Linked DNA regions of Mytilus edulis. The protein of the gene in region 2 purifies or fractionates together with the protein of the main gene of each other region. This does not show direct contact. Links are inferred from orthologs where the notes say so. Each region holds a gene or a part of one and is shown on either strand. Other genes may lie near its edges. The genes, in order: ER membrane protein complex subunit 4-like and NADPH--cytochrome P450 reductase-like.

What was found.
Region 1: the proteins of NADPH--cytochrome P450 reductase-like (region 2) and ER membrane protein complex subunit 4-like purify together in Homo sapiens (affinity purification with mass spectrometry; 3 studies listed by BioGRID and IntAct, with this or other methods). This does not show direct contact. The link is inferred for Mytilus edulis from reciprocal best matches to the Homo sapiens genes POR and EMC4.

Annotation. Positions count from the first base shown.
Region 1 is NC_092345.1:104,075,052-104,088,333, forward strand, and holds the start of ER membrane protein complex subunit 4-like, read right to left. Parts: upstream 8,216-13,282; 5' UTR 8,136-8,215; coding exon 8,027-8,135; intron 1,734-8,026; coding exon 1,309-1,733; 3' UTR 1-1,308. UniProt on the Homo sapiens protein: Part of the endoplasmic reticulum membrane protein complex (EMC) that enables the energy-independent insertion into endoplasmic reticulum membranes of newly synthesized membrane proteins.
Region 2 is NC_092349.1:17,110,653-17,127,603, forward strand, and holds the start of NADPH--cytochrome P450 reductase-like, read right to left. Parts: upstream 7,616-16,951; 5' UTR 7,487-7,615; intron 2,474-7,486; exon of another isoform or gene 2,269-2,473; intron 1-2,268. UniProt on the Homo sapiens protein: This enzyme is required for electron transfer from NADP to cytochrome P450 in microsomes. It can also provide electron transfer to heme oxygenase and cytochrome B5.

The DNA.
Region 1 (13,282 bases), on a different chromosome or scaffold from region 2:
GCTGAAATTTGTCATTGCAAAAGGCAACCTTTGAACTCCCAAAAGAGTTGTTGCAATGTACTTGAAGTTTGAACATGCAGACAGCATAACTCTATTTAATAAGCATAAAATTTTGACCAAATATGGCTGTGTATTCATACATCCCAAACAGCCAAATGAAAGCCTCTTTTCAGATGGGTTCAACTACTATAATGAATGTTATAAGAGGGTGGTAAAGGGTTAATTTTGTGCAATGTCGATCGCCTTTTATTATTTGACGTTCAACTTTACTTTTTTATTTGAGAATCAGTCATGCAAGAGAGATGCCTCGTTCAATGTGTTCTGCTTATTTAATTTTACGTGCATCCTGATTTTCAAATGCTTATTTTGTGTGCTCAGTATTTTTCAAATAAAATTTAAACGGGATCGTCAAGAAATACTTTTTTAAAAGCTGTAAACCAATTACATCATAAATGTGTATACTAAATCGGGAATATCAAGTAAAACAGAGTTAATGTATACACAAGAAGACAATGACTCAGTCACAAAATGTTCAAATCAAAGTATTTATTTTTCGTGCAACATTCATGACAGAAATTATTCACGTTCAAAGTGAAATTAGGTTTTATTTCACGTTTTTTCATGTAAGCACCCCTATTTACCACCCTCTTATAAGTGACCATATTTCTATATGCAACCCTATAATAAAATCACATCAATTGTGAATTATAATTTCTTTTGTACCTTTACTCTTTAAAAACTGAGCTAAAACCCATTTAAAATCAAAACAAAAGTTGTGAATGTAAATTAAAATTCTATTTGTTTCCAATTTTGAAGTTGAAAATACTATAAACAGATAAATCAGAATAACAGCCATTGAAAATAAGATTCATGTAAAACTCAATTAAAGTACATGTAGGACACAACATAATAACAAAACAAGACAGACAACACAAAGATCAGAGACGAGTACTAGAGTACTTGACATAAATTTATTAATATATCAGTACAAATAATTCATTCTTTTCATTCTTTTATATGTTAACACCTCTTTTGATAAGCATGTACATATTTTTGTTTTAAAAAGGGAACAATATAATATTTATTGCACTTGTACATAATCTAGTTTTAAATTTCTGGTTGTGAAAATATTGTCAGGAAATGTATTTTTTTCTTTTTCTTTCTTTGTCATACTTTTTTTGTAGAATTTCAATATTTTGTTGAGTTGTAGTTTGGACATTATTCTACAATGGAAAAAAATATTTCAAATGATAGTTCTATCTCTTCCTGTTGCAATCGAAAGTCTGTAAAATAAACACATTAAATTTGTTAAAATGCTGCTCCGCCACCTGACCATTCCATTCTATGCTGGGCCTCTACAAATGCTAGCCAATCAGATGAATGTGTTGGTAAAAGTCCCATCACCTGACATTTATAAACAGCCAATACCAGGCAAACAATATTTCCCAAGATATATACAGCTTTTTGAAGATATGAGCTGCTTCCTTCTATTGTACCAAATGTAGCCTGAATACTTATCAAAGCTTGAAAAGGTCGGAAAAACATCATCCCAACCATCATAATAGGAAATATTGAAATAGAATTTCCTGCCATCCACATGATGAAAAAGTTCATAGGGATCTGTTTGAGAGGTCCTAGTGCAATATCCCATGATCTTTTATCAATGAGTTTCTGTGTATCAGGACTATCCTCCTTGTCATCATGTCTGGCTACTGTAGCATCTTCATTGTATCCTGCAAAAATCAAGAATTTTAATACCTATATCATGTCTATTGAATCCTAGAATAAAATAGCTATAGGCTACATGCTTACTTTAAGGGGGTCTCATTGGGGGGTTCTGATTACTGGATCCCACTTACTGTTTTGTCAGATTCCCGTATCCCGTTGACACTATGTAAGTAAGCCATTCTAATTTTTTGTAATTTCCCATGTCCCACTACACTTTATTTCCTGTTTTCACGGCACAATAATTTGACTTTCACATGTCACTCTTACAAAAAAATCGGCAAAAAATCCCGCGTCACGCTTGGACCCCAATGAGACCCACCTTAAATAGTTTGATTAAGTTGGATTTGATCAAAAGGGAAGGTATTGCATGCTATTTGTTATTGAAAATTCACAAAGAAATTAGGGCCTGTAAACTTTTAGCGAGTTTGGTGCATTGTACATTTATTTTATCATGTTTATACTCTATTAAAACATTTTTAAAAGAAATAAGATAAACATTTAAAAAAAAGCAGTAGATAACCTTCTGCCTCGTATGGAATAGTAGCATAATTTATCATTACTTCAAGAAATAATTGGAAATATTTTGCACAAACTAACACATAAAAGGTAAGAATGTGTGTCTATGATTCTTTTATGGCTAATTTGGGTCTCAAATGTGAGCACAAAATTGCCTCTCAAAATCAAAAAAAATAACTCCAGCGTTATAACGTCGCTGTAAGCAAGGAATTGTATATTTAAAAGGAATGGAAACGCGGCTCTAGAACAATCTGAAACCTTATTCTATCGTTATGCACTTTTTTAAGTTTCTGGTAACATTTCTGAATTTTCTACAATTTTTCGAAATTTCAGTTTTGAATTTCATTATTCTGTCAAAACATGACTTTCAATCTTGAGGTGTAATACCATTTCTTCTAAATATTGGAAAGTAGAAAGAACAAAGTGAGAAAATGAGATATCGTTTTAAGGAAGGAGTAATTTCCTACAGTTTGGTCTAAATTACGAATGCTTAATATCATTGGTACAACTTAAATGATTTTATTTCGAAACATGTTGAAAATTTTAAGTAGTGCATCAATATATACACCAACACGCCGTATTCTGGTAATGGTTAAATATCTACTTGGAATAGCTGTGACATTGACATACAATTTAAAAGCTTAATCTTTTATCTATTATATAGTGTTGGTTTTATGAAAATGGTGATAAAAACGAATTTGCTATTATTTTTCAAAATCACTTGTTTATATTTCACTTTGACCCCAATTTGTTCAGTCACGTTTTGCACTGACGAAGTTGGAAATTACAGGCAAGAAATGTATATAAGACTTTCTATTGGGATTGATTGTGCCGTTTTATATACAATTTTATTTCTTTATTTTTGTCAAATACTATTTTTATACTTTATCGTTGATTGGTATTGCAGTTTTTCATTGTTAAGCGTTGCCGCAAATTACCATAAGCTTAAAAGCAAAACAGTTCCTTCCTTTTTTCTCGAAGAGCAGTAGTTTAAGAGTTCGAAAATACTCCTTTGGCATTGTTTGGTGTTAAAATAAATAATATGTGAATGTGTGAAAGTTTTAACTGTTTCTAGTTAAATTTTGTATGGCACCACCACATGGTTTAGAATTAAATTAATTAACAGGTGTGTTAGCCGTTATTTGTTTTTGACACCTTAAATCAGGGACAACCTATAGTTAGTATACATTGTTCCTGCTTTTATATATATACGACAAGAATTAGCTTATCAATGATACATGATAGGTTATACCTGCAAATTGGATATCTTGACTACCTGAAATTTTACCTAAAACACTTACATGACTTATTTATAACAATCTTTGGTACATTTCCACGATCAGATAAGTGTCACATACTATCTCACAACACAATCATCTGTAAATACTTACCCCAGGACCACCAGGAGGAAAATGAACTTTTTTCAATTTTGATTCGAAACTCAAACAGATCGAAAACTCATCACGAATACCACTTCCGGTCTAGTTCAAAACATAAACAATGTCAGTGTGGTTCACAGTCATCTATTTCTACCTGGCTACGACGGTAAGACAAACACACCATAGCCCCTTACATATACAAACAACTAGATATACGTCCAGAGAATACTCAATCTCTCTGATTCCTGTAACAACTATATCAACAGACACATGTTTATATCACTGGATTAAAATCACAGCTAATTACAGGAGTAACGAGAAGTTACTTAAAGATAAGAACTCTGCATATATAAAACTGTTATTATTAATAGGTGGTATTGAAAGAAACCCAGGCCCAAGAACTCCAAAATACTTGTGTGCCATATGCGACAAAGCTTGTCGGTGGGGACAAAAAGCTCTTGCATGTGATGAATGCAATAATTGGTACCACGCACCTTGTACAGGCATTGACTCGAAGGAATATTCAAGCCTTGCAAATATATCAGCTTCATGGTATTGCGTAGTATGTAACGCTCCTAACCACTCAACTGTTTTCTATGATCTGATTGATTCAGCTGATAGCAACACCTACTCAGTGTTATCATCATGTACATCAGAAGTGAGCAAAACTGATTTAAATATATCATCTGAAATTGACACTAGTATAGGTGACCCTATAGCATCATCATCACCAAAACGCTCAGACACCCATACTAAAAGCCAGCAACAATCCAACAAAAAGTCACAGAAGCAACTCCGAGTACTGCTTATCAATTTTCAAAGCGTAAAGAATAAAAGAAATGATCTCCAGGTTATGCTGGAGTCCGCTCGTCCAGATATCATCTTAGGAACTGAAACTTGGTTATGCGACAAAATCAACACAAGTGAAATTTTCCCCCCAGAACTTGGTTACGATGTCATACGCAGGGACAGGAAAACAGACGCCCATGGAGGAGTCCTCATAGCAGCAAAGACAACACTTGGACTTAGCCATCTTAAATCAGGGAAAGACACAGAACTCATATCTGGGAGCATCAACATAAACCAGAAAAAGAAAGCCATAATAACCTGCTTATATAGACCACCAAATAGGCTTGATCAACAAACTGCAAACAATGCAATACAAGACATTACTGATCTACGCAAAAAACACAAAAGTAGTATTTTCATCCTTGGTGGAGACTTCAACTTACCAGACATTGACTGGAAAAACTACACAATACAGGGTACTCAAACATCAAGAGATATTAACAACGCATTTCTTGAAATGGCAGCCAACCTAAATATACAACAGTTGGTGGACAAACCAACCAGGGGAGATAACACCTTAGATGTGCTTTTTACATCCCATCCAGGCCAACTCAATAGATGTAAAACCATACCACCTCTCGGGAACAGTGACCATGATATTGTTCTTCTAGACTTTTCACAAGGCTTACAAAAACCCAAACAGCAAAAGAGAAAAATATATCTATGGAAAAAAGCTAACATCGCCATGATTAATCAACACCTCAAAGAAAAATACAACATCTTTAAAAACACAGATTTTGAGGATGTCAACAGTCTTTGGACCAACATAAAAGGCTTGATTTTAGATGCCATCAACCAACATGTACCAACCAGGAACACCTTAACAAAACATTCCCACCCATGGATGAACTCAGAGCTTAGACGACTCAGTAACAAAAAGCAGAGGGCTTATACCCTTGCCAAAAGCAGTGGGAAAACAAGAGACATAAAGAAATACAAATTTCTGAAATCACAACTACAGAAGGAGGCTAGACAAGCACACAGTAACTACATGGAAGATATAGTAAGCGACGACTTGCAGAAAAACCCTAAAAGATTCTGGTCATATGTGAAGAGCCGGAAACAAGATGCATCCCAGATTGTGACCTTGAAGTCAAAAGATGGCTTCCTACATAGTGACACAGATACTAAGGCATCTATACTGAACCAGCAATTCCAGTCAGTGTACACCAAAGAAGATACCAGTACGCTACCTGACCTAGGCACAAGTCCACATCCAACCATGGACAATATCGTCATCCATGAAAGAGGTGTCTACAAACTATTAAAGGGACTACGACCATTCAAAGCAACAGGCCCTGATGAAGTTCCAGCAAACATTCTCAAACAGGCAGCTGAATCACTAGCTCCTTATCTTACCCGGATGTTCCAGCGTTCCCTGGACGAGGGTAAGATTCCAGACGAATGGCGGAAGGCAAACATCGTGCCAATCTTCAAGAAAGGAGAGAAACACCAACCCTCTAATTACAGGCCTGTGTCATTAACATCCATAGCATGCAAACTGCTAGAGCACATTATACATAGCACAGTCATGGATCACTTTGATCGACATAACATTCTATGCGACGAACAACATGGTTTCAGAAGTCGACGTTCCTGTGAGACCCAGTTAGTGGTAACACTAAACCATATTGCCAAAAACATGGACCAGGGGCACCAGACTGACATCATCTTACTGGATTTTTCAAAAGCCTTTGACAAGGTACCACACGAACGCCTGCTTTTGAAACTGGCATACTACGGGGTGAAAGGATCAACATTGAACTGGATAAAGGACTTCCTAAGCAGTAGAACCCAGTCAGTTGTACTAGAAGGACATACATCATCTCCTTTAGATGTACTATCAGGAGTTCCACAAGGGACAGTCTTAGGTCCTCTACTATTCCTGACATATATCAACGACATGCCAGATTGTACATCTTCAGATGTAAGGTTGTTTGCAGACGATAGCCTGGTGTACAGAAAAATTAGAAATCCTGATGATGCTGCAACTCTACAGAGAGACCTCACTGCTCTGGAAGAGTGGGAACACAAGTGGCAGATGTGTTTCCATCCAGAAAAGTGCACAGTTATGAGGATATCTAACAAGCGCAACACCCTGCAAACAACATACACCTTGCACGGACACCAACTAGAAGTTGTTGATAGCGGAAAGTACCTTGGAGTGACCATTAGTCAAGACCTACAGTGGAATAAGCACATTATTAACACCACAGGGAAAGCAACCAGGACCCTCGGTTTTCTCCGCAGAAACCTGGGCCGATGCAAACCATCTGTTAAAAACACAGCCTATTGTGCTCTCATCAGACCATCGATTGAGTACGCTGCCACAGTGTGGGACCCCCATCAAACCACATTGATCAAAGACAGCGACCGGGTACAGCGTAAAGCAGCACGATTTGTCTACAACCAGTACACAGACACTTCCCCAGGGTGCGTCACTGGATTATTAGACCAACTCCAGTGGGATCCCCTACAGTATAGACGAATTAAACAGCGACTCGTACTATGCTACAAGATACAGAACCAACTAGTGGAGATACAACCAGCTATCTACTACACACTTGGGGACAACAGAACAAGGGGTGGCCACAGACTTAGACAGATAAGAGCTACTAAGGAAGTATACAACAACTCCTTCTTCCCACGCTCTATAGACTATAAGGGACTGGAACCTTCTGCCAGACACAGTAGCAGCTGCACCAACACTCGAGGAGTTCAGGGCCAAATTAGCCAGTGTGCCCTGGACCCAGATGCAGCCTAACTAGACATCAGTTTGCCAAATTGTACAGTGTAAATAGTTTTAATTATTTTGTTAATATTCACTTTTAATCAATGGAGAAGCCTCCTGTTTTACCGAGCGGAGTTAGTAAATCACTCAAATATGAGGTCAACTCCTTAACGGAAGAAGAAGAAGAAGAAGATATCCCATACCGGTGTTTATTATAACACCTATAATCTAAGTTCTTTTGTCTAGCTAAAATACAACATCTGTTCACATACATGTACTTCCCCTTTTATACTTTTCTACACCAGTCATATTCCAAAATGGAAAAGTTTTTTTTAAGGTTATCTTTTTTTTAAACTATTTGTATTGCCTTTCTTTTAAAAACTCGTATAATGTTGAATTTCATCTTTAAATTGACCTTAAATTTTGCATACATTCGAGAAATATAAAGACGAGGAATAAGAATAAAAATGTTTTTCAGAAGAAACTTTGTTTAAGGTTGTATTTTCTGTTTATTTCATTTAAAAAATTGTATATCTAAATTGACAATTCCTTGTTTCATTTCATGATTAATGACCAAGTTTGATAACTGCTACTGGATAAGTAACGAGCCAGTTTGTGCGATGGGGTGTAATTAACACGGTCTAAGTCAGAGATGCATAAGCCGCGTTTCCATTCCTTTTAAATAAACAATTCCTTGCTGTAAGGCGTCAAAACAGAACCATATAAAGCTTCATAATTATTTGGACTAGTTCACACGAATCACAATAATTTGTTTCTTAGTAAATCTCATACGATTGTAAAGAATAAGGATCAAATGTTTTACCCATTGGTTTCCTTAAATCTGTGTTTAACTGAACCAGTGCTTTTTCTCCTTTGGGTCTACCAATTCCAGTAAAGTCGATTGACCATTTGTGCAACTTTCTTCGTGACATTTTCTGTTTTACCTGGTACCCGTTTTGTATTTGAATCGGCAAACTGAATGCCAATTCAACCAGGATCCAGTTATTTTAGTTCCGCAGCATAAATGTATCTATTACCCAGTACTTTTATTTCTAAATTACATACCCTAACGTCCTTCATTATTTGTGTTGAAAAGTTGCAGCAATATTATATCAAGGACTGGATTATATATAGCACCAAAGTATTTTGACAGATCTTTGACTATATTTTTCAATTGAAATTACACAAAAGTAAAAACACAAAAATACCGAACTCCGAGGAAAATTCAAAAGGAAAATCCAAAATCAAAAGGCAAAATCAAAAGTCCAAACACATCAAACGAATGGATAACAACTGTCATATTCCTGACTTGGTACAGGCATTTTCTAAACAAGAAAATGGTGGATTGAACCTGGTTTTATAGCTAGCTAAACCTCTCACTTGTATGACAGTCGCAACAACTTTGTGAAAAACTATTTGGAAGAATGTCATATGTTTTTAAGAAGCGTACATCGACCAATCCTTTAATTTAAAGGGGCACTAGCTACGAGATATATAAAAAAATCGAAAGTTTGATTTTTTTCTGTTCAATCAATAATGAAAGTGAAATAGTGAAATAACAATTCGCTTTTTGCAGCCCAAAATTTTCAATGTTGTCAAATTACGCTAAGAAACATTGATAATTAGTTATTCACTTGCAAGTGAATGAGTCGACCTCTTTAAATCCGTATTCAGTCATGTAACTTCAATTTAACCTCTAGCTAGAGATTGACAACGCATGTATTGTACGTGTACTGGTTATTTAAAGAAAAAGAATTTCAACAATGAAAGTGAAACTACGGTAAATCATTAATTTTGATTACTAATTCGATGCCGACATAAAATCATTCTTATACGGTTAAAAACAATGAGAAACATCTATTTTTAATCTATAAAATAAAATCAAACAGACTTTTAAAAATCCAATTGCAAGTGTTGGTTTATCAATGTTTAATCTATACCTGTTTTAATCTATTCATATCTTTATTTATGTTTTCATCGCTTATATGGTCATCTGAGGTCAAATCGATAGTTAATTAGATGGCGTCTGGATTAGAATACACACGAAACGAACCTATATATTATCTACCCGATGCTCTGTAAACTGTTTATCTTATACTTTTGATAGTTTGGATAAATGTTAAAAATACATTGTTATAAATCAAATATGAGAATTTGAGTCAAATCGGTGACCATGAATGTGACATTTAGTGCCCCTTTATTAAAAAGGGTAAATAAATGAAAGTATATACAACATAATCTCTTTTAAGGCTGTGGTGTCTTCCTCAATCTTGAATTTTAAATAGCAGATACCAATTGGTCTAGATCTTTATTGTATTGTGTCGAAAACAGTATGTTATTTATGTGTAAGACTTTTCATGTTCACATAGAAAATGATGTGTTGTATCATATCACACTTTACTAACACAACTAGGAAGTGACTTCAACATTAATGCAAAATGAGCGTGGATTTCGCCACACTTGTCAGCTCAACCATAGTCTATAACGCCTTCTAACATATACGTCAAAGTAGGGGAAAATTTTCCCCTACTCGTCAATACAATAAAAGCGTCGATCTCGACACACTTTACTGAAGAGGCTAAATATATGTCATCATTTATCCGAGAGTAAGCGTGGATCTCGCCACACTTCACTGAAACTTACTACAACGCAGCCCAATAAAGATCATTCAATAAAGTCATATGAAGCAGTAAGCGTGGGTACGTGGCCACACTACACTGTGTAATGCAGATATAAGTTAACTGTCTTAAGTAAAACCAGCCAACCTGCAGAAGAACGATTTCTTTTGATCATATATATACATGTAAATAAACTGTAAATATTTTGGAAGAGTTTTAAATTTTAAAGGAGTAGGTCCGGTAAGGACCGATTTTGGCCTCAAATTTCAGGTTCATCTTACGAAAGATTTTGACCACTTTTCAAACACTAAAGTGTCTATTTCATTTGAATCAATTAATTTATTTGAAAGATTTTAACTGATTTAGTCATTAAAAACAACCCGATTTAAGCTCAAATATGAAAAATCTACCAAATATGCCGAAAAATGTCACTTTTCAGATGATTTTTGTCAAAAATGAAAGTGGCCGCATCCGTGTTCATCCTCAACCTTTATATATGTTATGTATTATCATAAAATACAACTTACATTTCAATATTAAGGATGAACACGAATGCAGCCACTTTCGTTTCACACGAAAACTGTCTGAAATTTAACTAAAATGCTAGAATTGTGAAGATTTCAGTAATTTAGTACGACTTAATGGTGCTAGTACCCGATATATGTGCATTGTATTGTCAAAAACAGCCCATATTTATGTAGCAGAAGCATTCTACTGTCCAATAAATAACTAAAAGTTTACATTTTAACAATTTTGTAAAACTGCTATATTTTGGGGCCAAAAAGGGGTCTTACTGGACCTACTCCTTTCATGACATTGAACTAGCTTATATTTTTATGCCGGTACATATGTATATACAAAACACTTTTAATATTCTTTTTAATGATGATAGATGTCTACCTGTGTGAATTTTTTTTTAAAACATTAAGATATATGTACTTTTGATCTGGTAGTGGAATACTCATTGATTAAGGTGTTCCTTTATTGGAGAAAGTTATAGAATACAAGTTACAAGAGACATATATAATATGTCTCTGTATTATATGTATCTGATCATATTTACAGCTGTATTTTGCAACGCAAGGGTAGATAAATCAGATATAACGGTGATTATAGCTCAGATCTGGAACTATTATACTAGTATAATAGCCTCAGCTCAAAAAAGGTGTTTTTATAATAGACTGTGTGGTGAATTTACCCATTTTATAAAAATTAAGAATGGAAATGGGGAATGTGCCAAAGAGACAACAACCCGACCATAGAAAAGACAACAGCAGAAGGTCACCAATAGGTCTTCAATGTAGCGAAAAATTCCCGCACCCGGAGGCGTCCTTCAGCTGGCCCCTTAACAAATATCAGATATACTAGTTCAGTGATAATGAACGCCATACTAAATTCCAAATTATACACAAGAAACTAAAATTTAAAATAATACAAGACTAACAAAGGCTCCTGACTTGGGACAGGCGCAAAAGTGCGGCGGGGTTAAACATGTTTATGAGATCTCAACCCTCCCCCTGTACCTCTAGCCAATGTAGAAAGTACACGCATAACAAAACGCAGTGTAGATTTCTTTTCATCACACACAATTTTGTTTTTCATGATGACAATATATACAAATTCTAACCTGTAGCGTGAACAAAATCCCGTTGAACCCCATACTTTTTATCATATTTTTGAAAAAAAACATGACAAAAACTACATTTTGATCAATTATTAACAAATTCTAAGGATTTAGATTTAAAAAAGACCCCACCCACAGTCCACCTCCATCCCATATCTATCTGAATACAAAATAAAGGTACAAATGTATGACTGAAACTTCTTTTATTACATGACCGAAGTGATTTCTTGTAATAAGTATAATTGTAAATCTTTAGTATAATGGAGGAAATAAAGAGAATCAATCATGGCCGAAACGACCAAGGCCGAACTAACCAAGGTCCAGTTTAGCTCCATGACCGAAACCTCTTGCTACCGAGACGTTTCGGCCAAGAATCTGTTCGGTCTTTATCGTTTAAGCCATACACAAGTTCGGTCATGGTCGTTTCGGTCCATTATACTTTTTTTCTTATCAGTGTTTTGAATAATAAGATAAGTAAGTTATTATATCTTAATATAAATGTAAAATCACAAAAATACTGAACTCCGAGGAAATTCAAAACGGAAAGTCTCTAATCAAATGGCAAATTTTAATGATAAAACACATCAAATGAATGTGATATAGACTTTCTTAATAAATATAAGAGCAGATTGATTGAGATAGATTTGTAAAAGCAAATTTGCTTGTTTTTGAAAAATGGCTTTTACTTCTACTTCTTCCCATACGCGGCCACGATCAATAAGTTGGTTATTTTGCCACTTTTGGATGCGCATTTTAAATTTCGACAAAAAAATGAATTGTGCAATACATTTTCCTCTTTGTGAATGGAGGTGTGCCTTCATTGGCAGAACTACGATAACAGATTACAGAATACATCATATATACAGTGAAAAAACATCTTGGCGTTAATCTAGTTCATTTCATGAAGCCCGATTATCTCAGATGGTGCCATTAAAACAAAATACATATATGGTTTGGCGATATCTGGCCACAGCTTTTATTCATAATATGATAGATTCATACAATATATAATATATATATATAGATAGATAGACCATAGACCCATGTATATGTAGATAGATCTATGGTCGGTTACCCGAAGATAATATGGCAACCAGGTAGATAGATAGATGTGAAGATAGATATATATGAAAATGTAAAGATGCACCGTGGGATACACTGGTGCTTTAAATTTAGAAAACACCGTGGGATACACAAGTGTAGTCTGTATTATCCAAAAACCTAAAATTTCATAGTTAACATTAAGATTCTATGCAGCGAATTCTGCCATTTACGGGAATATATTTATGATGCTCAAAGTTCAAATAAAAGTCACTTTTCTCAACAGCAAACAAGTTAACATCATCAGTCAAATCTGTATCATCACTATCACCGACACAAACCTGAAAAATAAATACAAAAGAGCAGTATCTTGTTCAATAAAAAGGAGTGGGAGGGCGGGTTTTCAAGTTTACCGCTTACAAAATTTAAACAGCTTGCTTGCTGCGGAAAATTCTAAAAAGGACTAAATGACGTCACAGAATATATCGTCACACATGTTGGGTAAATCTAAAACATGAAACACAATCCGTGAGTGGCCCCGGCGATAACTGAATTTAAGTCTATTAACTTAAATTCTATTATCTCAGATGGTGCCATTAAAACAAAATACATATATGGTTTGGCGATATCTGGCCACAGCTTTTATTCATAATATGATAGATTCATACAATATATAATATATATATATAGATAGATAGACCATAGACCCATGTATATGTAGATAGATCTATGGTCGGTTACCCGAAGATAATATGGCAACCAGGTAGATAGATAGATGTGAAGATAGATATATATG
Region 2 (16,951 bases):
GAAAACCAAACATGTAGTTATTAAAATATATCTGTAGAAACCTTTTATACACATATATACTAAAACTCACTGCATTTTAATGCATTTTAAAACTAAGTAAGGAGACTGACGTTCAGTGGTTGTCTTTTGTGGTTAATAGGTGTTTCTCCTTCTTGTTTTTTTTATGTAGATTAGACCATTTGTTTTCTTGTTTCACTTGTTTTACAAAAGTCATTTTCAGGCTTGCTGTTCGGTGTGAGCCAAGGCTCTTTGATGAAGGCCATACTTCCGCCTATAATTGTTTGCTTTTTACATATTGTAAACTTTAATGGAGTGTACATGTTGCCTCCCATGTCTCATTGGCACTCATACCACATCTTCTTATTTATATCAAAATTTTAAGTTCCCTGTGGAAACTATGTCATAAGCAATGTCATAATAGATGTTCCTATTGGAACAAATATTCTGTACCCTTTATTCCATTACCAACAAATACTGTAATATCGTTTTATATCTATATGCATGTAGGTGAACAAGCTATGCAAGATTATGAAAATTATGTAAAGTTATGTAAAATTAATCTATTATTCAGTCTGAGTTTAAAAAGTGGTGTGAAAAAACAAATTCACATACTTCAAAATCAACACTTTTGAAATACGTCTTTTGTAATCGAATCAAACAGAGTTCAATGACACTGATATGAACCTACAGGTAAAAGTTAGATCAAGAAAATTATAAAAACATGTACCGTTTAATGAAGTTTAGACATTGATAAATATAACATATAAGAAGAAATCACTTTTACAGAGGCAGATCTAGTCATTTTTAAAAGGGGGTTTCACAACCCAGGAAAAAAGAGAGAGGGGAAGGGGTCCCAATATTATTTCCCCATTCAATTGATTGATCGTCCAAAAACAGGGATCTGCCACTGAATATCTATATTTTTACCTTATACCTTTGATTTATCAATATTCTAAGAATATAAATTCTTTTTATTTTTTGGGTGGTTGAAAACTATTATTTTAAATACTGATGAGATACAAAATTTCAGTTACATTGTATTTTCATAGTTGCAAATGCCAAAACCACTAAATGAAGTTGTTACCCTTGAAAAAGCTTTTTTTTTCACCAAACACAAAATTTGATGCCATTAAAGGATTTACTGTGAGTAAACAATAAGAAAATTGGGTACGTTAACCAATGAGAAAACAATACAACTAGGGATAAATGACATGAATATAAGAAATTATATAGGTCAGAATAGTCTTCATTAATAAGCAAAAACCAAACTCATTTTTTTCACACTGTTGTTATAAAACACATTAATGATAAAAGAGGGTTATTAAGGGGTTCAGGTCCCTTCAAGAGCTACCTATATGGTTAATGCATAGACTTTTAACATATCCGACTCTAAATATTGCCTAGTTTCGAGGCATGTCCCCCTAGTTTGGGGGCAATTGTCCCGCTCTAAAAATTGCCTAGTTTGGGGGCATGTCCACTCTCAATATTGCCTAGTTTGGGGCAATTGTTCCACCTAAAAATTGCCTAGTTTGGGGGAATGTCCCACTCTAAACATTGCCTAGTTTAGTGTAAACATATTTTATTAATTAATTTCAGGGAAAGTAATGTACACAAATAGGCATTTACATAATAATAATACAGGTGAAATAATTAAAAGGATCCAGAAACAAGCTGTTAGCTTATATATTAATCTGTTTCCTAATTTGAGGGTATGTCCCACTCTAAACATTGCCTAGTTTGAGGACATGTCCCACTCTAAACATTGCCTAGTTTGGTGGCATGTCCCACTCTAAACATTGCCTAGTTTGGTGGCATGTCCCACTCTAAACATTGCCTAGTTTGAGGACATGTCCCACTCTAAACATTGCCTAGTTTGGTGGCATGTCCCACTTTAAACATTGCCTAGTTTGGTGGCATGTCCCACTCTAAACATTGCCTAGTTTGAGGACATGTCCCACTCTAAAAATTGCCTAGTTTGGGAGCATGTCCCACTTTAACCATTGCCTAGTTTGGGAGCATGCCCCACTCTAAACATTGCCTAGTTTGGGGGCATGTCCCACTCTAAACATTGCCTAGTTTGAGGGCATGTCCGACTCTCAACATTGCCTAGTTTGAGGGCATGTCCCCCTTTTTCAAAATCCTGAATCTGCATCTGATTTGTAACTTTTAACATGCAAAGGAAACACATCAAGGACGTTAATCCTATTCTTAAGTACATTTAAGTTAAGTAGAAAAACAATGTAATACAAAAATTAAACCACTACTTACCGTTTAAAGCATAACCTTTTAATCTGTGGTTTAAGATATCACTCATTTTGAATTTCAGTGAAATTTGACCTACATGTACTAAAAATTACTACAATGTACCTTCACCATGTTCATAGTTAAAGGGAATATACATAACTATAAGCAAACAGTACGTTTAAACTCTTTACAATAAAGTCTTATGCAATTTTTTAAGAGTATTACAACCTATATCATGTATAGAAAGTTGATCAATAAACTGTTTTAATTCAAGGGACTATTTCAAAACAATAAAAAGTATTCCTGTAATATAGCAAATTTACAATTTGCTGTTTACTCCTAAAAAATATGGGTTTACAGGCTATAATTATGAAAAATATTTGGTTTGTTTTTCATGTTGGTAATCTGTTTTGAAGTAGCCAATAAAATCAGCCCATCAGTTTTCTCTTTAGAAGGTTTACATTTGCCTATATTTTACCATGCAGGGACTTTTGATAGTTTTATATTTACTGTATGGGAAACGCAGTGATGTCACCTTTACAATGTAGATTTTAATTACATCATCTTCATTTTGGACTCTGGTTGAAAGTTGTCTCATTGTCAAACCTTTTTTTTTAATTTTATTTAAGAGTCACTTATAACTTCTACCTTTCCCCAAAAGGATGATCATTTAAAAATACCAAAAGTTGTGCTCACTGTTGAATGCAGTAATGTTTCCTGTATAATGTAGATGTTGGCATCCCCTTCAATTTGGCCTCTGGTCAGGCTGGTGGATAGTTGTCTCATTGTCAAACTTTTTTTTTAAGAGTCACTACATTGTAATAACTTCTAGATTATTTGTCTCCCAAAAGGCTGATAAATTAACATTTAAAAATACCGTACTGTAAACAACTATAAAAAAAAAAGAAAAAAAAAAAATCTGAAACAAAAAGTCTACATTGTAAATGTATTCACTTACCATGCTTACCAAAAATCCAAGTACCGGTAATAATTTAACTCCAAAATTTATGTGAAACATGTGAAAGCATCTCCAGCAAGCAACAAATAAACATATACGAAGGTCAAAAATAATTTAAACTAAACAACCCTGAGAAAATTAATACCACTGATACTACATACTGGTATTATATAAATCAAATTTTCATAAAATGAGGGAAGCCATATGAACATGTTGGTTCTCTAATTTCATATCAATTCTGACATTGAGAGTTCATGATTTCAAGTACTAAACACAATACATTATTTTCCTTACAACGATTTGTTCTAACTTGACAGGTGTTTGACTTATACAGGTCAGGTTACAAATGAAGGTAAGAATATTGGTTCTCATACAAGATATAAAATAACAATATGAGAGGTACAAGAATTTATACCGTAACTATACATTGACACACATTGACAAATCGAAATTTATATATAGGTGTTTTTAGATGCACCCAGATAAGTTTACAAGTTCTATCTACTATTCCAGCTAGATATAAACCTCCCTTCTGTATTTTCTGTACTCCGCTGTCCCATTATGAATTTCAACTTCTAAAAAAATTATGCAATATCTCAGAGTCAATACACCATGATGAAAAGGCGAGGGGCATAATATTTGCATGGAAATGAGGCTTAATTTGAAAATGCTACTAGTACATGTACCCGTAATACAACTGCATACCAAATATAAGTGAATTAATTAACATATGGTGGTGAATATGGTTGGGAATAGCAAAAGAAAAACAAAAGTAGACTAGTTACGCTTTCAACGATGGTGTACATTTCAGACTTGGGGTAATTGTAATTGTAATCATTAATCAGCTGTAATTGATTACAATTTTTCAAGTAATCATTGTAATCATTAATCAGCCAAAATTCTGATTACATGTAATTTAATTTAATCAATTACTTTTCAAAATGCCCTGTAATTCTGATTACATTTTGATTACATTCTGATTACAATGAAAAAATCTTGAACTGTGTTTATGGTTAATAAATGAACCTTTTTGTTATTCTTATTCAAGAAGTTAAGATAGTTTGGCTTACTTTATCAAGCAAGTTAATTGATGTGTATACTTCAGTAAAAAATAAACTGTTAAAATATTAAAAAGCCATCAAAAGCCTAAGATTGAAAAGGCCTTAGTAAAAGATATGTACATTTATTCACAATTCAAAGATGTACATATATATATTTGATAAAAAAACTGTTATATTTAAGCAATATTATACTTTTCTTTAACCCTGAATTATAATGTTTTGTTAATATTGTGATTATTGTCAACTTTGAATTGACAGGTAGGAAACCAATTAAGGTTTGTTTTTATTGCAATTTCCAATTGAGTATAGCTGTAGGACAATATATATATTATGATAAAAAATTAATCAGACATGTGAAAATTTATCTAATTAGCACAAACTCAATTAAAAGTTGGACAAATATCTTGTTTAAAATAAGCTAATTTTTGTATGTACTTGGCCTGGAAATGTAAAATGCATTGACTTATGGTAATTGTATATTTTTACAATTTGTTTGAACAATTCTATTAAATTTTTACATAATTTTATCTGGTAACTTTATTTCAACCATATTTTAACTTCCAAAAACTGCACCTTGAACTACATATAAAGTCTGGAAGAGGTCAGAAGACAAACAGCAAACTCTTTATAAAGCCATATTCAATTGAAGTCAAAATAATTCAGAGATCAATGAAGATAATGTGTAATGGGTGACACAATGTTCATGTATGTCTGTAGTGAACTTTTGTGGTTTATCAAATAGATCAAGTTTGAAGTTATAATTTTAAAATATGTAAAACAAAACCTTTCTAGAAAGAACTATAGTTATATTAAACGTTAATTCATTCACATCATTCAAAATGTTTTTTTTTAATTAATTGTAATCAGATGTAATCATGATTACTTTGCCAATGTAATCATTAATTTAATCAGACACTTTCAGAAATGATGTAATCATTAATTTAATTTAATCGTACAAATGACAAAGTAATTGTAATTTAATCAATTACATTGAAAGTAATCGGACCCATCTCTGGTACATTTTTGCATTTTTCTTACAATGCAGAACCATGGTGGGGATTGTTTGATGATTGGGGAAGACAGTCAAACTATCATGGGGTGGGCCATAACAAAATTGGTCATGGAAATGCCTGTAGGTTTGGATGGGGTTTAATGATTAAAGATTAATGCCCTTAAAAAAAGGGGGTTAATTTTTTAAAGATTACATTGCTGATTAATTTAAATTTGCACTGTTTAATAAATGAAAAAAAATGACCTTTTTCTTTTTCAGTATTTCATCAACATGATCAATATACATGTTCAAATAAAAATATAATAATTAGGATTAAAATAAAATATTTTATTTCTTCAAAAGATATATATTGTTACGTTTATATTTTGATTTGCATGTCTCAAAACATGGGCTGATAAGTAATGTGATGGAACTAATATAATGAATCTATCAATTGGTCACTAATCCTGTCCGTATAATTTGCTTATAGTTACAGATATGCTACAGAAAAGATAAATGTTTTGATATATATTTATATATATGAATAATACAGAATAGAGAAAAAATGGTCAAAAAATTATGACCAAAGCCCCCCCCCCCCCAAAAAATAAAAACCCAGTTGACAGTTTAACACTGATTTTCACCATAAATCAAAAGACCCCCTTAACCTAAAAGTCCAAAAGACAGAGGTCATGTATGTAGACAGATCATGAGTAGGTATTTAAGTTTTCAATACTAGGACAAATTATAATTGTGTCATCTTTTTGCCTTTGAGTGAGACCCTACTCTGTGAAAGATTATACATTAAATGTACAAAAAAAATGAACAGTTACACAATAGACTCAACTTATAGCATCCTGTTTTGTTAATCTATATCAAAAGTGAGGACAGGCAATGACAAAATATGTAAAAGATAAATGTGTGGTATAAACAATTTCCTACGATTCTGTAACCAAATGAAGATATGCAGATTGACTGTTTCTATTTGTATGAAATAATTTTGATGATCATTTATGACCCATCAGGTAAAAGCTTAATTGAGGTGGTTAACTTGTCATAAATTTGTCACCAGTTAAAAATTTTGCACTTTACTTTTTTTACTTAAAAATTACAAATTTGAATGCATGAATAACAAGAATTGATCAGAAATCATGAGATTTTCTTCATTTCATAAATGAGAAAATGTCAAATACTAGCAAAAAAAAATGCACAGTGTACATACAGGATGGTTAACTTGGAATAAATGTACGTTAATTAATCATACTGTACATGTAATGTTGTATTTAAGGTTGCCCGTTCACGGTTAGGTATGTCATATTGGTTAGGGGGCAGATTTTCATAATGGAGGTACAAATGGTGTGAAAAATACGGGAAAACATTGTTAAAACAGAGCAGTTGTTTTGAAACATGCATCCACCTCTTTCAAAATAATCTGCCCCCTATCCAGTATGACCGAACTAACTGTGAAAGGGCTTTCATAATATCAAGTTATGACTCCAGAATTAACATTTTTCGATAGGTGTGGTAGAACATCCAGGTACTTTGTCAAGCAGGAGCAATGTAATTCAGTAAACCAAAGATTTTAATCAGTCCATTTTGAGGGAAAGTTGACTGTTCAATGCTTTCTACACATAACAAAATCATCAAAAAATAGTAAATTTCCTCCCAAATTGCACAGATCATATATTTGATTCTACTTATTTTTGGATACTCATAATTGACAGAGTACCTGGATGTCCCACCACGGAGTACATGAAGGTAACCTGTCAAATAATTTTAAAACCTGAAGTCAAAAGTGGATAATAATATGAAAATGGTACAAACAATGTACAAGTAGCACATTTCATTTTTGTTATTGTGTCAGGATCTTTACATCAATAGTCAGAGTTAAACAAACTTGTCATCGAAATATGCCTTTTTATAGAAATGACACAGTTTACATCATCTATTAGAATGATAGAAATTATGGAAAGGTCATAATCTAGATCGACAATTTGTCACGTAATCATTACGATGAGAATTTTATGCCGCTTAGAAAAGTAACATATTAAGGCTTAATCATGTTTACCACAGTATAAAATAATGACATTAAGATTTAAAGCCAGTATATATACAATGAATTAAAGATTTATCACTGTAAATACAATTTTACTTCACTAATCACTATGGGTCTCGTCCTGCAATTATCCTAATTCTACTGTTTATACTTTGTTTATGCTAATTATACATTACCTGGCTTGTTCTAAGTCGTATGATGTAAATAATTAATAAACTTGTTTCATGGATATTAGTAGAGATTCACAGATTTTACATAACCCTGGCCTTGGGCCTAAATCCTTCCAATGGGTTAACGAAAATTATCACCGGATGTGAGAAAGGATATTTATAATAAATCTTATCCGAAAGTAAGCCGTATTTTTTCCGAATTTCACTATAAGGCTCTGGTGGGATTTTTAAGTCAACGGTTATTTATCATAAGCAACTGATTTAATTAAGGGGGTATTTATACTTGGGGAAACTTTTTTTAATCGACCAAATCAAATAAGCAATAAAGATAAAGTCAAGCATAAATTAAAAAAAAAATACACCTGTGTCTAACCAGGGAACTTATGCCACTCTGAATATATCCTATACATATTTTCTTGTTAATTCGACCTGTTGATACTCACTGTTTATAATGTTTTTTTGTTATTTTATATTAATATGGATCTTGTCTATATATACCAGCTTTGATTATTTAGAATATCTTCTAATTTTCACTTTTTCTTACTACATTTGTATAAACTTCAAGATTTACCTGTATTATTAAAACCGGTTTTTTTTCAAAAGTGATTATTTTCGAAGGGTTAAATGTTTTGCAGTGGTTTCTTGCCATGGCTTTGCTTGGACTTGTTTGTTTGTATTTTGGCCTTGAATGTTTGTCCCTAATATTTTATAAACTGTGCATTTGCATTTAGATATCACAGATCAAATTTAGTCGTTCATATATATATAGTGTGTTAATTTACGTTTTTTGATTGAGTTAAGCCTGCCAATTGATATTTTATCGTGTGTTTTTCAATGTTGTGATCTTATGCTATTGTTTAAATTCAGAAAAAGGGAGAAGGTTTGGTACCATTAAAACGTTTAATCCCGCCGCAAATGTTTTTCACCTGTCCTAAGTCAGGAATCTGATGTACAATAGTTTGTTTATGTAATTTATACGTGTTTCCCTGGTTTCTCGTTTTTTTATATAGATTAGACCGTTGGTTTTCCCGTTTGAATGGTTTTACACTAGTAATTTTGGGGCCCTTCAGTATAGCTTGTTGTTCGGTGTGAGCCAAGGCTCCGTGTTGAAGGCCGTACATTGACCTATAATGGTTTACTTTTATAAATTGTTATTTGAATGGAGACTGCGTTGTCTCATTTGCACTCATACCACATCTTCCTATATCTGTATAGAATAAGACTGAAGCTGTCGATTTGAGTTTGCCAATGAGATAATTATTCAACTGAAACAAAACATGGGTGGATTAAGGGTAGGAACCAGAGCGGACCCCCTCTTAGGTAGTCAGTCCCCCCTTACACACACAAAGGGACACAACTACAAAAATTCTGGATCCGCCACTGCAAGCGACTTTTAGCAACTCTAGTATTGTTGCTACGGCTTCACTAAGAGCAAAACCTATCCTATCAAGGTTCCCATACGACAAATTTGAAACAATTTAAAACCAGGCAGAAGCTAGCGAACAATAGCTAGCGAACAATAAGCCATCGAACAATAAGGCGATATATCGAGAAACCAAAAAACAGAATAAGACAACAACGGCCGTTAAATAAAAAAATATTTAAAAAGGCAGAAAATCAGTTAAAATATAGCAATTTAAACTCAATTTTGAAATGGTTTTTATCCAATCTATTGATTTAACAAGTCGCATAACTTTTTAGGCTAATATTCAGTACCACAATAACTATGCATCTATCAACGGATTATTTGTAGGTGTAGGGCCACCTATGCACCCTCTTCAATTTAGAACGTATGTAAAAGTAGTCCTACCCTGTAAAATATAGCACCTTTTATGTCATTGTTTAATCTAGAGCTCAAAATTTGAAAAAAATGTCAAAAAATTAGGAGGGTCGGCCTATTCCAGGGCTTCTAGAGAAAAATAATGAGGGGTTTCACGGGGAATGACTATATAGGTCTTGTAGAGGAGAAACAGGCGCTTCTTTTGCGCTAGGTATCGAAGGGCGCTATGTTCAAAAATCTGAAACTAGAGCTCAAAATTTGAAAAAAATGTCAAAAAATTAGGGGGGTCGGCCTATCCTAGGACTTCTAGAGAAAAATAATGAGGAGTGTCACGGGGAATGACTATATAGGTCTTGTAGAGGAGAAACAGGCGCTTCTTTTGCGCTAGATATCGAAGGGCGCTATGTTCAAAAATCTGAAACTAGAGCTCAAAATTTGAAAAAAATGTCAAACAATTAGGGGGGTCGGCCTATTCTAGGACTTCTAGAGAAAAACAATGCGGGGTGTCACGGGGAATGACTATATAGGTCTTGTAGAGGAGAAACAGGCACTTCTTTTGAGCTAGGTATCGAAGGGCGCTATGTTCAAAAATCTGAAACCAGAGCTCAAAATTTGAAAAAAATGTCAAAAAATTGGGGGGGTCGGCCTATTCTAGGACTTCTAGAGAAAAATAATGAGGGGTGTCACGGGGTATGACTATATAGGTCTTGTAGAGGAGAAACATGCGCTTCTTTTGCACTAGGTATCGAAGGGCGCTATGTTCAGAAATCTGAAACTAGAGCTCAAAGTTCGAAAAAAATGTCCAAAAAATGGGGGTAGGTTCGGCCTATTCCAGGAGTTCTAGAGAAAAATAATGAGGGGTGTCACGGGGTATGACTATATAGGTCTTGTAGAGGAGAAACAGACGCTTCTTTTGCGCTAGGTATCGAAGGGCGCTATGTTCAAAAATCTGAAACTAGAGCTCAAAATTTGAAAAAAATGTCAAAAAATTAGGGGGGGTCGGCCTATTCTAGGACTTCTAGAGAAAAATAATTAGGGGTGTCACGGGGTATGACTATATAGGTCTTGTAGAGGAGAAACAGGCGCTTCTTTTGCACTAGGTATCGAAGGGCGCTATGTTAAAAAATCTGAAACTAGAGCTCAAAGTTCGAAAAAAATGTCCAAAAAATGGGGGTAGGGTCGGCCTATTCCAGGAGTTCTAGAGAAAAATAATGAGGGGTGTCACGGGGTATGACTATATAGGTCTTGTAGAGGAGAAACAGGCGCTTCTTTTGCGCTAGGTATCGAAGGGCGCTATGTTCAAAAATCTGAAACTAGAGCTCAAAATTTGAAAAAAATGTCAAAAAATTAGGGGGTCGGCCTATTCTAGGACTTCTAGAGAAAAATAATGAGGGGTGTCACGGGGAATGACTATATAGGTCTTGTAGAGGAGAAACAGGCGCTTCTTTTGCGCTAGGTATCGAAGGGCGCTATGTTCAAAAATCTGAAACTAGAGCTCAAAATTTGAAAAAAATGTCAAAAAATTAGGGGGGGTCGGCCTATTCTAGGACTTCTAGAGAAAAATAATGAGGGGTGTCACGGGGTATGACTATATAGGTCTTGTAGAGGAGAAACAGGCGCTTCTTTTGCACTAGGTATCGAAGGGCGCTATGTTCAAAAATCTGAAACTAGAGCTCAAAATTCGAAAAAAATGTCCAAAAAATTGGGGTAGGGTCGGCCTATTCCAGGAGTTCTAGAGAAAAATAATGAGGGATGTCACGGGGTATGTTTATATAGGTCTTGTAGAAGAGAATCAGGCGCTTCTTTTGCGCTAGGTATCGAAGGGCGCTATGTTCTAAAATCTGAAACTAGAAATCAAAATTTGAAAAAAATGTCAAAAAATTAGGGGGGTCGGCCTATTCCAGGGCTTCTAGAGAAAAATAATGAAGGGTGTCACGGGGAATGACTATATAGGTCTTGTAGAGGAGAAACAGGCGCTTCTTTTGCGCTAGGTATCGAAGGGCGCTATGTTCAAAAATCTGAAACTAGAGCTCAAAATTTGAAAAAAATGTCAAAAAAATAGGGGGGTCAGCCTATTCTAGGACTTCTAGAGAAAAATAATGAGGGGTGTCACGGGGAATGACTATATAGGTCTTGTAGAAGAGAAACAGGCGCTTCTTTTGCGCTAGGTATCGAAGGGCGCTATGTTCAAAAATCTGAAACTAGAGCTCAAAATTTGAAAAAAATGTCAAAAAATTAGGGGGGTCGGCCTATTCTAGGACTTCTAGAGAAAAATAATGAGGGGTGTCACGGGGTATGACTATATAGGTCTTGTAGAAGAGAAACAGGCGCTCCTTTTGCACTAGGTATCGAAGGGCGCTATGTTCAAAAATCTGAAACTAGAGCTCAAAATTCGAAAAAAAGTCCCAAAAATGGGGGTAGGGTCGGCCTATTCCAGGAGTTCTAGAGAAAAATAATGAGGGGTGTCACGGGGTATGACTATATAGGTCTTGTAGAGGAGAAACAGGCGCTTCTTTTGCGCTAGGTATCGAAGGGCGCTATGTTCAAAAATCTGAAACTAGAGCTCAAAATTTGAAAAAAATGTCAAAAAATTAGGGGGGTCGGCCTATTCTAGGACTTCTAGAGAAAAATAATGAGGGGTGTCACGGGGAACGATCTCTAGGTCTTGTAGAGGAGAAACAGGCGCTTCTTTTGCGCTAGGTATCGAAGGGCGCTATGTTCAAAAATCTGAAACTAGAGCTCAAAATTTGAAAAAAATGTCAAAAAATTAGGGGGGTCGGACTATTCTAGGACTTCTAGAGAAAAATAATGAGGGGTGTCACGGGGAATGACTATATAGGTCTTGTAGAAAAGAAACAGGCGCTTCTTTTGCGCTAGGTATCGAAGGGCGCTATGTTCAAAAATCTGAAACTAGAGCTCAAAATTTGAAAAAAATGTCAAAAAATTAGGAGGGTCGGCCTATTCTAGGACTTCTAGAGAAAAATAATGAGGGGTGTCACGGGGAACGACTATATAGGTATTGTAGAGGAGGAACAGGCGCTTCCTTTGCACTAGGTATCGAAGGGCGCTATGTTCAAAAATCTGAAACTAGAGCTCAAAATTCTAAAAAAATGTCCAAAAAATTGGGGTAGGGTCGGCCTATTCCAGGAGTTCTAGAGAAAAATAATGAGGAGTGTCACGTGGTATGACTATATAGGTCTTGTAGAGGAAAAACAGGCGCTTCTTTTGCACTAGGTATCAAAGGGCGCTATGTTCAAAAATCTGAAACTAGAGCTCAAAATTCGAAAAAAATGTCCAAAAAATGGGGGTAGGGTCGGCCTATTCCAGGAGTTCTAGAGAAAAATAATGAGGGGTGTCACGGGGTATGACTATATAGGTCTTGTAGAGGAGAAACAGGCGCTTCATTTGCGCTAGGTATCGAAGGGCGCTGTGTTCAAAAATCTGAAACTAGAGTTCAAAATTTGAAAAAATGTCAAAAAATTAGAGGGGTCGGCCTATTCCAGGGCTTCTAGAGAAAAATAATGAGGAGTGTCACGGGGAATGACTATATAGGTCTTGTAGAGGAGAAACAGGCGCTTCTTTTGCGCTAGGTATCGAAGGGCGCTATGTTCAAAAATCTGAAACTAGAGGTCAAAATTTGAAAAAAATGTCAAAAAATTAGGGGGGTCGGCCTATTCTAGGACTTCTAGAGAAAAATAATGAGGGGTGTCACGGGGAATGACTATATAGGTCTTGTAGAAGAGAAACAGGCGCTTCTTTTGCGCTAGGTATCGAAGGGCGCTATGTTCAAAAATCTGAAACTAGAGCTCAAAATTTGAAAAAAATGTAAAAAAATTAGGGGGGTCGGCCTATTTTAGGACTTCTAGAGAAAAATAATGAGGGGTGTCACGGGGAACGACTATATAGGTATTGTAGAGGAGGAACAGGCGCTTCCTTTGCACTAGGTATCGAAGGGTGCTATGTTCAAAAATCTGAAACTAGAGCTCAAAATTCGAAAAAAATGTCCAAAAAATGGGGGTAGGGTCGGCCTATTCCAGGAGTTCTAGAGAAAAATAATGAGGGGTGTCACGGGGTATGACTATATAGGTCTTGTAGAGGAGAAACAGACGCTTCTTTTGCGCTAGGTATCGAAGGGCGCTATGTTCAAAAATCTGAAACTAGAGCTCAAAATTTGAAAAAAATGTCAAAAAATTAGGGGGGTCGGCCTATTCTAGGACTTCTAGAGAAAAATAATGAGGGGTGTCACGGGGTATGACTATATAGGTCTTGTAGAAGAGAAACAGGCGCTTCTTTTGCGCTAGGTATCAAAGGGCGCTATGTTCAAAAATCTGAAAATAGAGCTCAAAATTCGAAAAAAATGTCCAAAAAATGGGGGTGGGGTCGGCCTATTCCAGGAGTTCAAGAGAAAAATAATGAGGGGTGTCACGGGGTATGACTATATAGGTCTTGTAGAAGAGAAACAGGCGCTTCTTTTGCGCTAGGTATCGTAGGGCGCTATGTTCAAAAATCTGAAACTAGAGCTCAAAATTTGAAAAAAATGTCAAAAATTAAGAGGGTCGGCCTATTCTAGGGCTTCTAGAGAAAAATAATGAGGGGTGTCACGGGGAAGGCCTATATAGGTCTTGTAGAAGAGAAACAGGCGCTTCTTTTGCGCTAGGTATCGAAGGGCGCTATGTTCAAAAATCTGAAACTAGAGCTCAAAATTTGAAAAAAAGGTCAAAAAATTAGGGGGGTCGGCCTATTCTAGGACTTCTAGAGAAAAATAATGAGGGGTGTCACGGGGTATGAATATATAGGTCTCGTAGAGGAGAAACAGGCGCTTCTTTTGCGCTAGGTATCGAAGGGCACTATGTTCAAAAATCTGAAACAAGAGCTCAAAATTTGAAAAAAATGTCCAAAAAATGGGGGTAGGGTCGGCCTATTCCAGGGCTTCTAGAGAAAAATAATGAGGGGTGTCACGGGGAATGACTATATAGGTATTGTAGAGGAGAAACAGGCGCTTGTTTTGCGCTAGGTATCGAAGGGCGCTGTGTTCAAAAATCTGAAACTAGAGTTCAAAATTTGAAAAAAATGTCAAAAAATTAGAGGGGTCGGCCTATTCCAGGGCTTCTAGAGAAAAATAATGAGGGGTGTCACGGGGTATGACTATATAGGTCTTGTAGAGGAGAAACAGGCGCTTCTTTTGTGCTAGGTATCGAAGGGCACTATGTTCAAAAATCTGAAACTAGAGCTCAAAATTTGAAAAAAATGTCCAAAAAATGGGGGTAGGGTCGGCCTATTCCAGGAGTTCTAGAGAAAAATAATGAGGGGTGTCACGGGGTATGACTATATAGGTCTTGTAGAAGAGAAACAGGCGCTTCTTTTGCGCTAGGTATCAAAGGGCGCTATGTTAAAAAATCTGAAACTAGAGCTCAAAATTTGAAAAAAAATGTCAAAAAATTAGGGGGGTCGGCCTATTCCAGGGCTTCTAGAGAAAAATAATGAGGGGTGTCACGGGGAATGACTATATAGGTATTGTAGAGGAGAAACAGGCGCTTCTTTTGCACTAGAAATCGAAGGGCGCTATGTTCAAAAATCTGAAACTAGAGCTCAAAATTTGAAAAAAATGTCAAAAAATTAGGGGGGTCGGCCTTCTCTAGGACTTCTAGAGAAAAATAATGAGGGGTGTCACGGGGAATGACTATATAGGTCTTGTAGAGGAGAATCAGGCGCTTCTTTTGCGCTAGGTATCGAAGGGCGCTATGTTCAAAAATCTGAAACTAGAGCTCAAAATTTGAAAAAAATGTCAAAAAATTAGGGGGGTCGGCCTATTCTAGGACTTCTAGAGAAAAATAATGAGGGGTGTCACGGGGTATGACTATATAGGTCTTGTAGAGGAGAAACAGGCGCTTCTTTTGCGCTATGTATCGTAGGGCGCTATGTTCAAAAATCTGAAACTAGAGCTCAAAATTTGAAAAAAATGTCAAAAATTAAGGGGGGTCGGCCTATTCCAGGGCTTCTAGAGAAAAATAATGAGGGGTGTCACGGGGTATGACTATATAGGTCTTGTAGAAGAGAAACAGGCGCTTCTTTTGCGCTAGGTATCAAAGGGCGCTATGTTAAAAAATCTGAAACTAGAGCTCAAAATTTGAAAAAAAATGTCAAAAAATTAGGGGGGTCGGCCTATTCCAGGGCTTCTAGAGAAAAATAATGAGGGGTGTCACGGGGAATGACTGTATAGGTATTGTAGAGGAGAAACAGGCGCTTCTTTTGCGCTAAGTATCGAAGGGCGCTATGTTCAAAAATCTGAAACTAGAGCTCAAAATTTGAAAAAAATGTCAAAAAATTAGGGGGGTCGGCCTTCTCTAGGACTTCTAGAGAAAAATAATGAGGGGTGTCACGGGGAATGACTATATAGGTATTGTAGAGGAGAAACAGGCGCTTCTTTTGCGCTAGGTATCGTAGGGCGCTATGTTCAAAAATCTGAAACTAGAGCTCAAAATTTGAAAAAAATGTCAAAAATTAAGGGGGGTCGGCCTATTCCAGGGCTTCTAGAGAAAAAAAATTAGGGGTGTCACGGGGAAGGCCTATATAGGTCTTGTAGAGGAGAAACAGGCGCTTCTTTTGCGCTAGGTATCGAAGGGCGCTATGTTCAAAAATCTGAAACTAGAGCTCAAAATTTGAAAAAAAGGTCAAAAAAATAGGGGGGTCGGCCTATTCTAGGACTTCTAGAGAAAAATAATGAGGGGTGTCACGGGGTATGAATATATAGGTCTCGTAGAGGAGAAACAGGCGCTTCTTTTGCGCTAGGTATCGAAGGGCACTATGTTCAAAAATCTGAAACTAGAGCTCAAAATTTGAAAAAAATGTCCAAAAAATGGGGGTAGGGTCGGCCTATTCCAGGGCTTCTAGAGAAAAATAATGAGGGGTGTCACGGGGAATGACTATATAGGTATTGTAGAGGAGAAACAGGCGCTTGTTTTGCGCTAGGTATCGAAGGGCGCTGTGTTCAAAAATCTGAAACTAGAGTTCAAAATTTGAAAAAAATGTCAAAAAAATGGGGGTAGGGTCGGCCTATTCCAGGAGTTCTAGAGAAAAATAATGAGGGGTGTCACGGGGTATGACTATATAGGTCTTGTAGAAGAGAAACAGGCGCTTCTTTTGCGCTAGGTATCAAAGGGCGCTATGTTAAAAAATCTGAAACTAGAGCTCAAAATTTGAAAAAAAATGTCAAAAAATTAGGGGGGTCGGCCTATTCCAGGGCTTCTAGAGAAAAAAAATGAGGGGTGTCACGGGGAATGACTATATAGGTATTGTAGAAGAGAAACTGGCGCTTCTTTTGTGCTAGGTATCGAAGGGCGCTATGTTCAAAAATCTGAAACTAGAGTTCAAAATTTGAAAAAAATGTCAAAAAATTAGAGGGGTCGGCCTATTCCAGAGCTTCTAGAGAAAAATAATGAGGGGTGTCACGGGGTATGACTATATAGGTCTTGTAGAGGAGAAACAGGCGCTTCTTTTGCGCTAGGTATCGAAGGGCACTATGTTCAAAAATCTGAAACTAGAGTTCAAAATTTGAAAAAAATGTCCAAAAAATGGGGGTAGGGTCGGCCTATTCCAGGAGTTCTAGAGAAAAATAATGAGGGGTGTCACGGGGTATGACTATATAGGTCTTGTAGAAGAGAAACAGGCGCTTCTTTTGCGCTAGGTATCAA